2 linked regions of the Rattus norvegicus genome follow. The protein of the gene in region 1 interacts with the protein of each later gene in a biochemical or structural test. Links are inferred from orthologs where the notes say so. Each region holds a gene or a part of one and is shown on either strand. Other genes may lie near its edges. The genes, in order: Reln and Vldlr.

Region 1 (4,276 bases):
TAAGGACCTACAGCCTGTAGCCTGCACGGCTCCAGTGTGATATTAGTTGTGTGTGTGTGTGTGTGTGTGTGTGTGTGTGTGTGTGTGTGTGTGTGTGTGTTCTACATAGATGTTGAACTTTGGGAGGATTTTAAGTAATGGAGACCAACGAGCAGTTCCTATCTGCTAAACCTATGCTTTGGTAAGAGGCAGAAAATAATCTTTTGCAGTGAAATGACCACAGAGGTCTCCTTTTCGATCTTGCCTTCTGATGCCCTTTTCCCAAACTCAGGCAAAGACTACCATTTCAGACATTCCCGTTTCCTGGTTTCTTTATAAGCAAGGCTTTCTTATTCTGGCTTGGTGCTGAGCCTGGGGAAACGCATTAAAACCTGGCAGCCCTGTTCTCACTTCTCTGGGTGCCTCCGGGCTCCTGCCAGCGGCGCTCAGTTAAAAATGTGCTTCTAGATGGTTTCACTTGTCCGCAGTCCTGCGTGCGGCAGCTCATTACCGCCCGCTTCATCCTTGTTGCCAGCCACTCCTCTGCATGCCTTCCCCTCCCCCACCCCAGGGACAGTGGTCATGCATGATATGAAAAAGAAATAAACTCGGACCTAAAATTTACTGCCCCCATCTCCGTCCTAGGATTTCGGGAGCAACACGTAAAGCCAGAGTCCGGCGAAGCGTGCCTGTCCAGTCCCCTCTCCACAATCCCCACAATCCCCACAGCCCCTACAGCCAAGCAGCCCGACTATCTAGCCCCCCACCACTCCAGGTGGCAATCCCACCGTCACCCAATCTCCCTTTCAGCCTGGCTGCCGCTGAGGACCCGGGCCGGGGCAGCGGTGAGGTCGCGAGGCCTGGCTGGAAAGGGTACGGGCACGCGGGGCACCGTCGCGGCTCGGGGCCACTGGCGGGCGGGTCCCCAGAACAAGCGCTGGGCGCGGGGACTGCGGGGCGGCGGGCCCCGAGGGGCGCGGGGAGCAGCCGGCGCAGACAAAGAACGGCGCGGTCCCCGCCGCCCTCGGCTTCCCCGCGCGTCCTCGCAGAACGGGCAGCTGTGAGCCCCGGGCTCCGGCTCCCCGGGGCAGCCCGTCGGTCCCCGGCCGTTCACCGTTCCCGCAGCGGCCGGGCAGCCCTGCCCTTCCCGGCCGAGCGGGGCGTGGGCGGGAGACGCGCGTGTGCGCGGGACGCAGCCCGGGGTGCGGACACAGCCCGAGGGGGCGGGGACGGGCGCGGGGGCGGGGGCGCGGCTGGGACACGTGTGGCGGCGGCGGGGGAGGGGGCGGCGCCCGGGGCTTTAAGAAGGTGCGGAGGGGGCGGGCGCTTTCCCAAGCCCGGCCGAGGGGCGTCGCATGCACACGGGCAGCGGCGGCGCTCGGAGGCGGACGACGCGCTCTCGGCGCCCGCGGCCCCGGTGTCCCCACGCTCTCGCTCCCGCGGCCCAAAGTAACTTCGGGAGCCTCGGTCTCCCGCCAACTTCCCCCCGCGGGCTCGGTTGCCCGGAGCCGCTCGGATCGAGCCCGCCGCCGGCTCGCCTTCCCAGCACGCGGCTCCTCCGTGCCGGTGCCTCCGAAAGTGGATGAGAGAGCGCGCGGGGCGCGCGGCGGCACGGAGCGCGGCGGCATGGAGCGCGGCTGCTGGGCGCCGCGGACTCTCGTCCTGGCCGTGCTGCTGCTGCTGCTGGCGACGCTGAGGGCGCGCGCCGCCACGGGCTACTACCCGCGCTTCTCGCCCTTCTTTTTCCTGTGCACCCACCACGGGGAGCTGGAAGGGGATGGGGAGCAGGGCGAGGTGCTCATTTCCCTGCACATTGCGGGCAACCCCACCTACTACGTACCGGGACAGGAATACCATGGTAGGTACCACGGCATCCACAAGGCGCCGCGGTGGCCCGCGAGCGCATCTTCCCATCCTCTTCCTTTTTCCCAGGGGCCAGCCGGGCAGAGACCCGGACAACCTCCTACCTCAGCGGGGTTCGCTACCTGGGGAGAGAGAACAAAGTTAGTGGAGAATGGAGTCCTGAGATGGGATTTCAACTGTCCCTTAACACATCTCGGGATAAACTGGTGCTTATGTGACAGGCCACACAAGCTTTGGGCACTGCTGTCTTTCCCTCCTCACTCCCTGCAGCTGCCTGCCTAACTTGTGTATTCTCTTTTCCTAACCCCAGTACCTAGATACCAGACTTTTGTCCCGTTCTGGGACCCCCTTGGTGGGTCCCCAGGTGGCGCTGGGATTGTCATTGGACTTTGCAGGCCAGCTGCCCACAGACTTGGAGCGCTTTGGTCGGTGGCTGCCCATGCCGGCGGCCAGCTAAAAGTTCCCGCTGCTTTGCAGCCAGGAGTCCCCAGCGATCTACCGAGTGTCAGGCAATCCTCAAGAACCAGAGCGGCTGTTTCCAGCCCTTTATTCTTTTAAAGGGTCATAAAAATATCAGTGATTGATGATTTCTGTCATCCCCTTCATACTTTTAGCTTGATGCTTGCTTTTGTTAGCATCGTCTGGGTGATGATTCTTAATGACTTGTATCTGCACCGCTTTAAGTCCCTGGTAGGAGCTACAAGCTACTCGCGGGAAAGCCGATCCCTCTCCAAAGGGATCAGTATGCAGTCCTTCAACGAGGTTAAAACATTACTCAAAAAGGAAATGTAGCTACAAGAGGAGTAATTTAATGTAGTATGCAACCCTTCATTGAGGTTAAAACATTACTCAAAAATAAAAATTAGCTACAAGAAGAGCAATTTAATGTGGTACCTATTCTTTTGATCAAGTGGAATTATGTGGGGAGATAAAACATGTTTACTTTCAGTCTTCATACTGGGACTTCTTAAACAATGATAAAAATATTAAATTGGAAAATTTCCACAAAATATTGATACCCAATTAAATAAGCTATCATAGAGTGAACTCATGCCATCCCGTAGACACCGTCTGTAATAGGCTACAGGTGTTGACAGAGCAGAAGATGGCTGGCATTTCACATAGATTTGGAAGTGAAAATTTTACAAAACTACTTCAGTTTTCCATTTCAATAAAACCTTCCTATCCACCCCCAAATACTTTGAGTATGTTCATCCTAGATTTTTAAACCAGTGCCTTCACAACTTTGTTGTGGAATGGTGGCAGCCTTGCCCGTGGAATTTTAGAATTTAATTTTAGGAAGTTAATTTCTGTGACTAGTCTTTTAAAGAAAAGGGCTGGGGTTGGGGATTTAGCTCAGTGGTAAGGCGCTTGCCCAGCAAGCGCAAGGCCCTGAGTTCAGTCCCCAGCTCCGAGGGAAAAAAAAAGAAAAGGGCTTGCTTGTATGCGTTCCCTTCCCGAGAGTGATCAGGTGATTTTTCTGAGGCCATGAAAATCTTTGAAGTGGAAGGAACAGCTAGGCCTAACCCGCAAACTGAGACAGTTGTCACTTGGTGTGCCCCTTAGCAGATGTGCTAGCCTATTAGCTGTGAGAGTCATGGGCCAGTGAGTGAAGGCTGGTCTTAGAGGTGCTACTGTCAGGTTGTGATGGAGTCTTCGATGATGACAAAGCCGTATTGTCCCCCACCACACAGATCCTCTGTACAGCCCTGGTCGGCCAAGAAAGCACATGTGAGACTAAGAATGTAGCATCTGCAGCTTTTGCTGTAAACCTCAGCCTGAATGTAATCATGTCACTAAACCTGAAAAAAGGTGACTGTATTATTTGGATTGGACATGGCAGGGAACAGGTCCCTGGAATCTCTTTTATGCCACCAGAAAAGATGGGGCGGGGGATTTTATCACGAAACTTGAAAGGTCAAATTATTAGAGAGAATAATACCATTTTAAATTCCCATTAAATACTGTATCGAAGTTTTAGCTTTGGGAACCAGCTATACAATGACTCTAGGCCTCCAGTTTTTTTTCCTATAGAGTAGGCTAGAGGCAAGAGAAATGCTTAAAACTGAAATTATACGTCCATGTGGCTTTCATTATTAAATCTTTGGAAATGAAAGCATCTGTAAGAATTGACTCACTATAGGAAGTCATAATAAGTACATTCGTGGTTGGCTCGTTTTGGTGAATGTTGAAAGTCAGAGGTCATTTGGCTAAAATGCCTACTCAGGTGAGGAAATCTGTAAAATTTTGCCTTGGGAATCTCTTTCTAGCCGTCTACATCTTCTAAATGCAGCACCTATGTCAGGAAACACGGGTTTGTCTTAGATTTCCATGGAGCTCAGGGCTTTGGCTGAATGGCATTGGGTGGAGGGCTGGTAGTTTTGAGGTTTTTTTTTTTTCCTTTTTCTTTCCCCCTAAAGACTGTGCTGAGAAA
Region 2 (4,395 bases), on another chromosome or scaffold:
CTATTTCAGGTGTTAGGAAATGCGCTGCCCACGAAGCTTGGATTGTGACTCTTTTTTAAAGAAGAAATCCCTCCTCTACATGGAATGCTATGATTGCTACCCTCTCTTGGTGCTCCATCAGGGATTATTTCTCCTGGTCATCCAGATTCCTACCTGCAGGCACGCTGGTATTGCTGGTAAGTTGCTCACTCCCATTGTAAGAGGCATAATACTCACTGGTCAGATAGGAAGAGCTCTTGCAGAACTCCGGCTCTGAAGGCTGTGCAACATGCCCCATCTGAATCTATAGGTAGGCTGGAGGGGGAAAGTCCTAGAGTCCCCATGTATTCTGCCATCAGCCCTTGTGATGTCTCGTTTGTTAACATCCCTTGTTAGCTTCACTTCAGTTTCTTGAAGAAACTCTGCAAACACATACCTACCCTGTGTCGGGTAGTTTAGAGTAACCCCTTGTATGTGCATATGCATGCCCGTGTGCGTATGTGCGTGTGTGTCGGTATGTGTGTTGGGGGGACAGAAGGAAGCATTGGAGAGAAAGAGAAAGCATAGAAGGTTGGGGGCAGGAAAACCAGTCCACATGTTTCGGGACTTTGAACTTAAGACACGGCTCTCTGAGTTTACTTATGGTCAGTATCTGCTTCAACCAACTCCAAGTTTGCTGCAGCTCAGAAAGAACTGCCCCTCCCCCTCTGACTCTTTAGGATCGTGCCTGCCTGTTTTCCTCTTCCACTTTGGCAGCACCACCATATTCCACTTGCAGTAAAGGGGGAACAAAGGTTACCCCCGCTTTCCTGATCCCAGCCGAACAACTTCTGATGTTTGACTAGCTCTTTGCAGCAGCCTGGGTATTTCCTACCACTCCATAGAAAACAGCACCTGAGAGAAAGTTAGCGCTTTAAAATTTCCCAAGAACAGAAAAGGTTCTGCAGCTAAAGTGACTCCTTTCTCCCACCTCCCTGAATCACAGTCAATAATGGATTTTATACTTTCGTGTTTTGAAATATTACAGAATACATAACGCGAGTCGAGTCACTCTTCTGAGGGATGGTTTAATAAGTTAACATTACTCATCCATTAATGATTAATGTCAGCGTCTGAAATGTTCGGTTAAGCAGGGCTTCTCTGGGCGCATAGGCTTGCCACACGTAGGATTCTGGCGTCACTGTACATGGGCCCTTTTCAGAGTGCAGCTGGAGAAAGCTCCAGAGGGAAAGGCCCCTCTGAGCCTGGCAGATCTTAAAGGTATCCCAGCTGGGGCAGCTCAATTAACTCCGCGAAGACACGTGACCAAGCTAAACGCAATCCAGCTACCAGCCAATCGCATGGGTTAGAAAAGCCCTGCCCAGCTTCTCACGCTCCGGACAGCGGAACCAAAGGCCCAGGGGCGCTGGGGGACTTAAACACCCCAGTATAGCTCGACAGACCGCTTGACCACACACTTGAAAGTTCGCTCTCACTCCAGGACACACGTGACCGCACGCGGGCGGGCCTTCTAAGCTACTCGGGCGACAAGAGATGGGGATCGTAGACTATTTAGAGCGGGGACGGCGTTCTGTCTAGAGCCGGTTGACAAGCAAGCACTCTGGTGTCACCTCTTAAGACCTCTAAGACCTCTTCAGTGGCCTGCCAAGGATCAGACCGGACCTTGTTAGGAAGGCGTCTTATCACCTGCTCTGGAAAGTTGTATGACCCAAGATGAGACTCTGAAAGTACACAGGGCTCCGAAGTCAGTGTGCTGACCCCCGGGGACTCGATTGTAGTCACCCCCGCCCTCCGCAAGCTACAGTCACACTTCAGCTCCAGCACCACACCTTCCGGCCTTATTGTGTAGAATAAAGGCTAATTACAGTCACTACACTGGGACTCAGTTTCTCTGGGGGAAAGTGTTGCCCAGAATGAGGCTCAGCAAAGTAACCTGATTAAGTCTGGATCCCACTCCCCTCCCCCGTTCAGTTATCTCAGAGACCCCAGAGGTTTTTAAAGGCTGCAGTAGCTGCGGAATCCCCGGGGGAGGGAGAAAGAAAGGCACTCAGAGGACAGTCCAGTTGAAAGCCACACTTGGAGCCTGAGAGATGGCCCGGCGCCTGGGGAGTCGCAGTCCCGGGCGCAGGCTGCGTACTTGACATGGCTCGGCCTCCAGGCTGCCGCCCACCGAACGTGCGCCTGCTCACGGCGGCGCGAGGACTACAGGCTCGGCCGGCACCTGGTGCCCGGTGTCCTCGGAGACGCCCACCTTCACCCACCGTGCGCTCTCAACCCTGCTTAAGTCTGAGGGACGCACCCGGGCTTCCAGGCCCCATGCTCTGCCAGGGTCCTAACAGCCCGCCTGGCAGAGGAGGCAGAACCATTGTTCAGTGGCTCTACAGCCCACATCCCCTAGCCCTTGTCAATGGGAGGTGAAAACCATGTAAAACAGAGGTTCTGGAAAGAAGGGGGACACAGAAGGATGACAACAAGTTCAAGGGACGCTTCAGGACACCCTAAACCCCACAGTCCCCCGGGCCCGGCTCCCAGTAGCCTCGGCTCTGACAGCTCAGAGGCGCCACCCGGGTGGGGAGGGGAGCAGGAGAGGAGCGTGGAGAGACGTCTGCTAGGAGGGGATGGGCAAGAGGAGCCCCGGGGTCTCCCAAAACGCAGCGATCGCGGACGCCCGGCTTGTTTCGGGCCGAGTGTGGAGGGGCGCGTCCCCACTCACCGCTTGCAGTGGCGCCGCTGTCCCGGGGCGCCCAGCACAGCGCGAGCAGCAGCCACAGCGCCCAACGCGCGGACGTGCCCATGCTGCCCGCCCGGATGGTGCCTCCGTCGCGCCGTCGTTGTCGCCGTTCGCTCCGCACAACAAGTTACCAGCCCTTCGGAGAGGAGGAAGGAGGTGGGGGCGGGGAGGGAGGAGGCGAGGAGGAGGGGGAAGGAGTGAGGAGCCGGGAGCACGGAGAGCACGCAAGGAGCGGGCACCCCTTCTCTGCAACTTGCACGCTCTACTCCTCGCCAGCCACCCAGCCAGCCAGCCACCCGGTCACCTCCCCCGCCGCGGCCGCGGTGTGCGCGCAGACCCTGCGGGCGGAAAATAATGCAGGCGTTGCAGAGAAGGGGAGGGAGAGGGGAGGGAACGGCGCGGGAGGAGGGGGCGGGGAGCCCGTTCGCCGCCGGGGACAGCTCGAGTGAACGGTCTTGGGGCACCCACCGGGGCGGCGGCAGGAGCGCGGCCGAGCGGCGCGGCGACCCCAGCGGGGGAGCTCAGCCCAGCAGCTCCAGCACGCACCGCTCTCCCGCGCGCTGTGAGGAGGGTGCGGGGGCAAGTGGCAGCGTGCGTGCGTGAGTGGCTGGGGCTGGGGCTAGGGCTGGGGCTGGGGCTGTCGCCGCCGCCATCCGGACGGCTCCAGGGGCTCGGCTTCTCCGCGCGTCGGCCTGGGGCTCACGGGGGACCCGGGGCGGCCTCTGGTTGGCTCGCGCACCGTTCTCACCTCCAATCCCGGGTGCCTGTCCTAATTTCCTGATCCAGGGAACCTGCGGCCGCAGCAGCTGTGCGCTCCCTAGCTCCCTACAGTCGCTACTGTACCCTCCTGGCGCCGTGGCAAGGAGCGCTGATGCAACTATTGCTGCTGTTGCCACCGCCTCCGGGCTTGATGGGGTTGGCAGTTGAGGGGTCTGGGGGCAGCAAGGAACCCTCTTCCCCCCTCTCCAGAGCCCCTAGGAAGGGCTGATGTTGTGAGGTCGGTAGGTAGCATCTTCTGAGGGGACTCTTCTCGCCAACCTGAAAGTGATGAAGAGGAGGGATGCGAACGCTCCGCTGTTCTGTGTGGGGTTCGGTGTCCCATCACAGTGGCAAGCTGACATGCCATTTTGTTAAAAATTAAATGTGGCTTTAAGCAAGAGTGTGTGAAAGAGAGAGAGAAAAAGAACAAGAGCGCTCCCGCGGTTGTGGCTTGTCCTCTGTAATAGAAGAAGACTAAAATAACCGAGTCTGGGATGGGGAGGAGGGAAATTGCCAGCGCAGCCCTGCATTCTCTCATCAACGATTATAGTTAATTGCTAATTGCACAAAATGATAGTTTGAGGGCCTGTAATTAAAAGCTTAACCTTTTTCTGGTTGGAGGAAGGGGACCCCGGTAGATTTATTCTCGGTATACTTTGTAACGTTCAATTACGAGCATTGTGGAGGGAAAAAAGGAAGTAAAGTCAACCTTCTCGAAAGGATAGATCGGGGGAGGTGGGTGCCGGGCAGGACCTAAGTCTAGGATTTGTTCTTATTGAACTTCAGTTTTCTTGAACACATCGCCCTGGTTGAGAGGCCTTCTGTGCTCTGGTCTAAGCAGAGTAGAGGGATACATTGAATTATTTCACCTGCTAATGTGATGTGTATACACTTCGGTTTTATAAGTTGCTGTACCTCGAATGAAT

The links.
Region 2: the proteins of Reln (region 1) and Vldlr form a complex in vitro, tested with the Homo sapiens proteins (6 studies listed by BioGRID). The link is inferred for Rattus norvegicus from reciprocal best matches to the Homo sapiens genes RELN and VLDLR.

The regions. Positions count from the first base shown.
Region 1 is NC_086022.1:13,627,135-13,631,410, forward strand, and holds the start of Reln (reelin precursor), read left to right. Parts: upstream 1-1,433; 5' UTR 1,434-1,605; coding exon 1,606-1,837; intron 1,838-4,276. UniProt on the Homo sapiens protein: Extracellular matrix serine protease secreted by pioneer neurons that plays a role in layering of neurons in the cerebral cortex and cerebellum by coordinating cell positioning during neurodevelopment.
Region 2 is NC_086019.1:234,239,248-234,243,642, reverse strand, and holds the start of Vldlr (very low-density lipoprotein receptor precursor), read right to left. Parts: upstream 2,958-4,395; 5' UTR 2,775-2,957; coding exon 2,693-2,774; intron 1-2,692. UniProt on the Homo sapiens protein: Multifunctional cell surface receptor that binds VLDL and transports it into cells by endocytosis and therefore plays an important role in energy metabolism.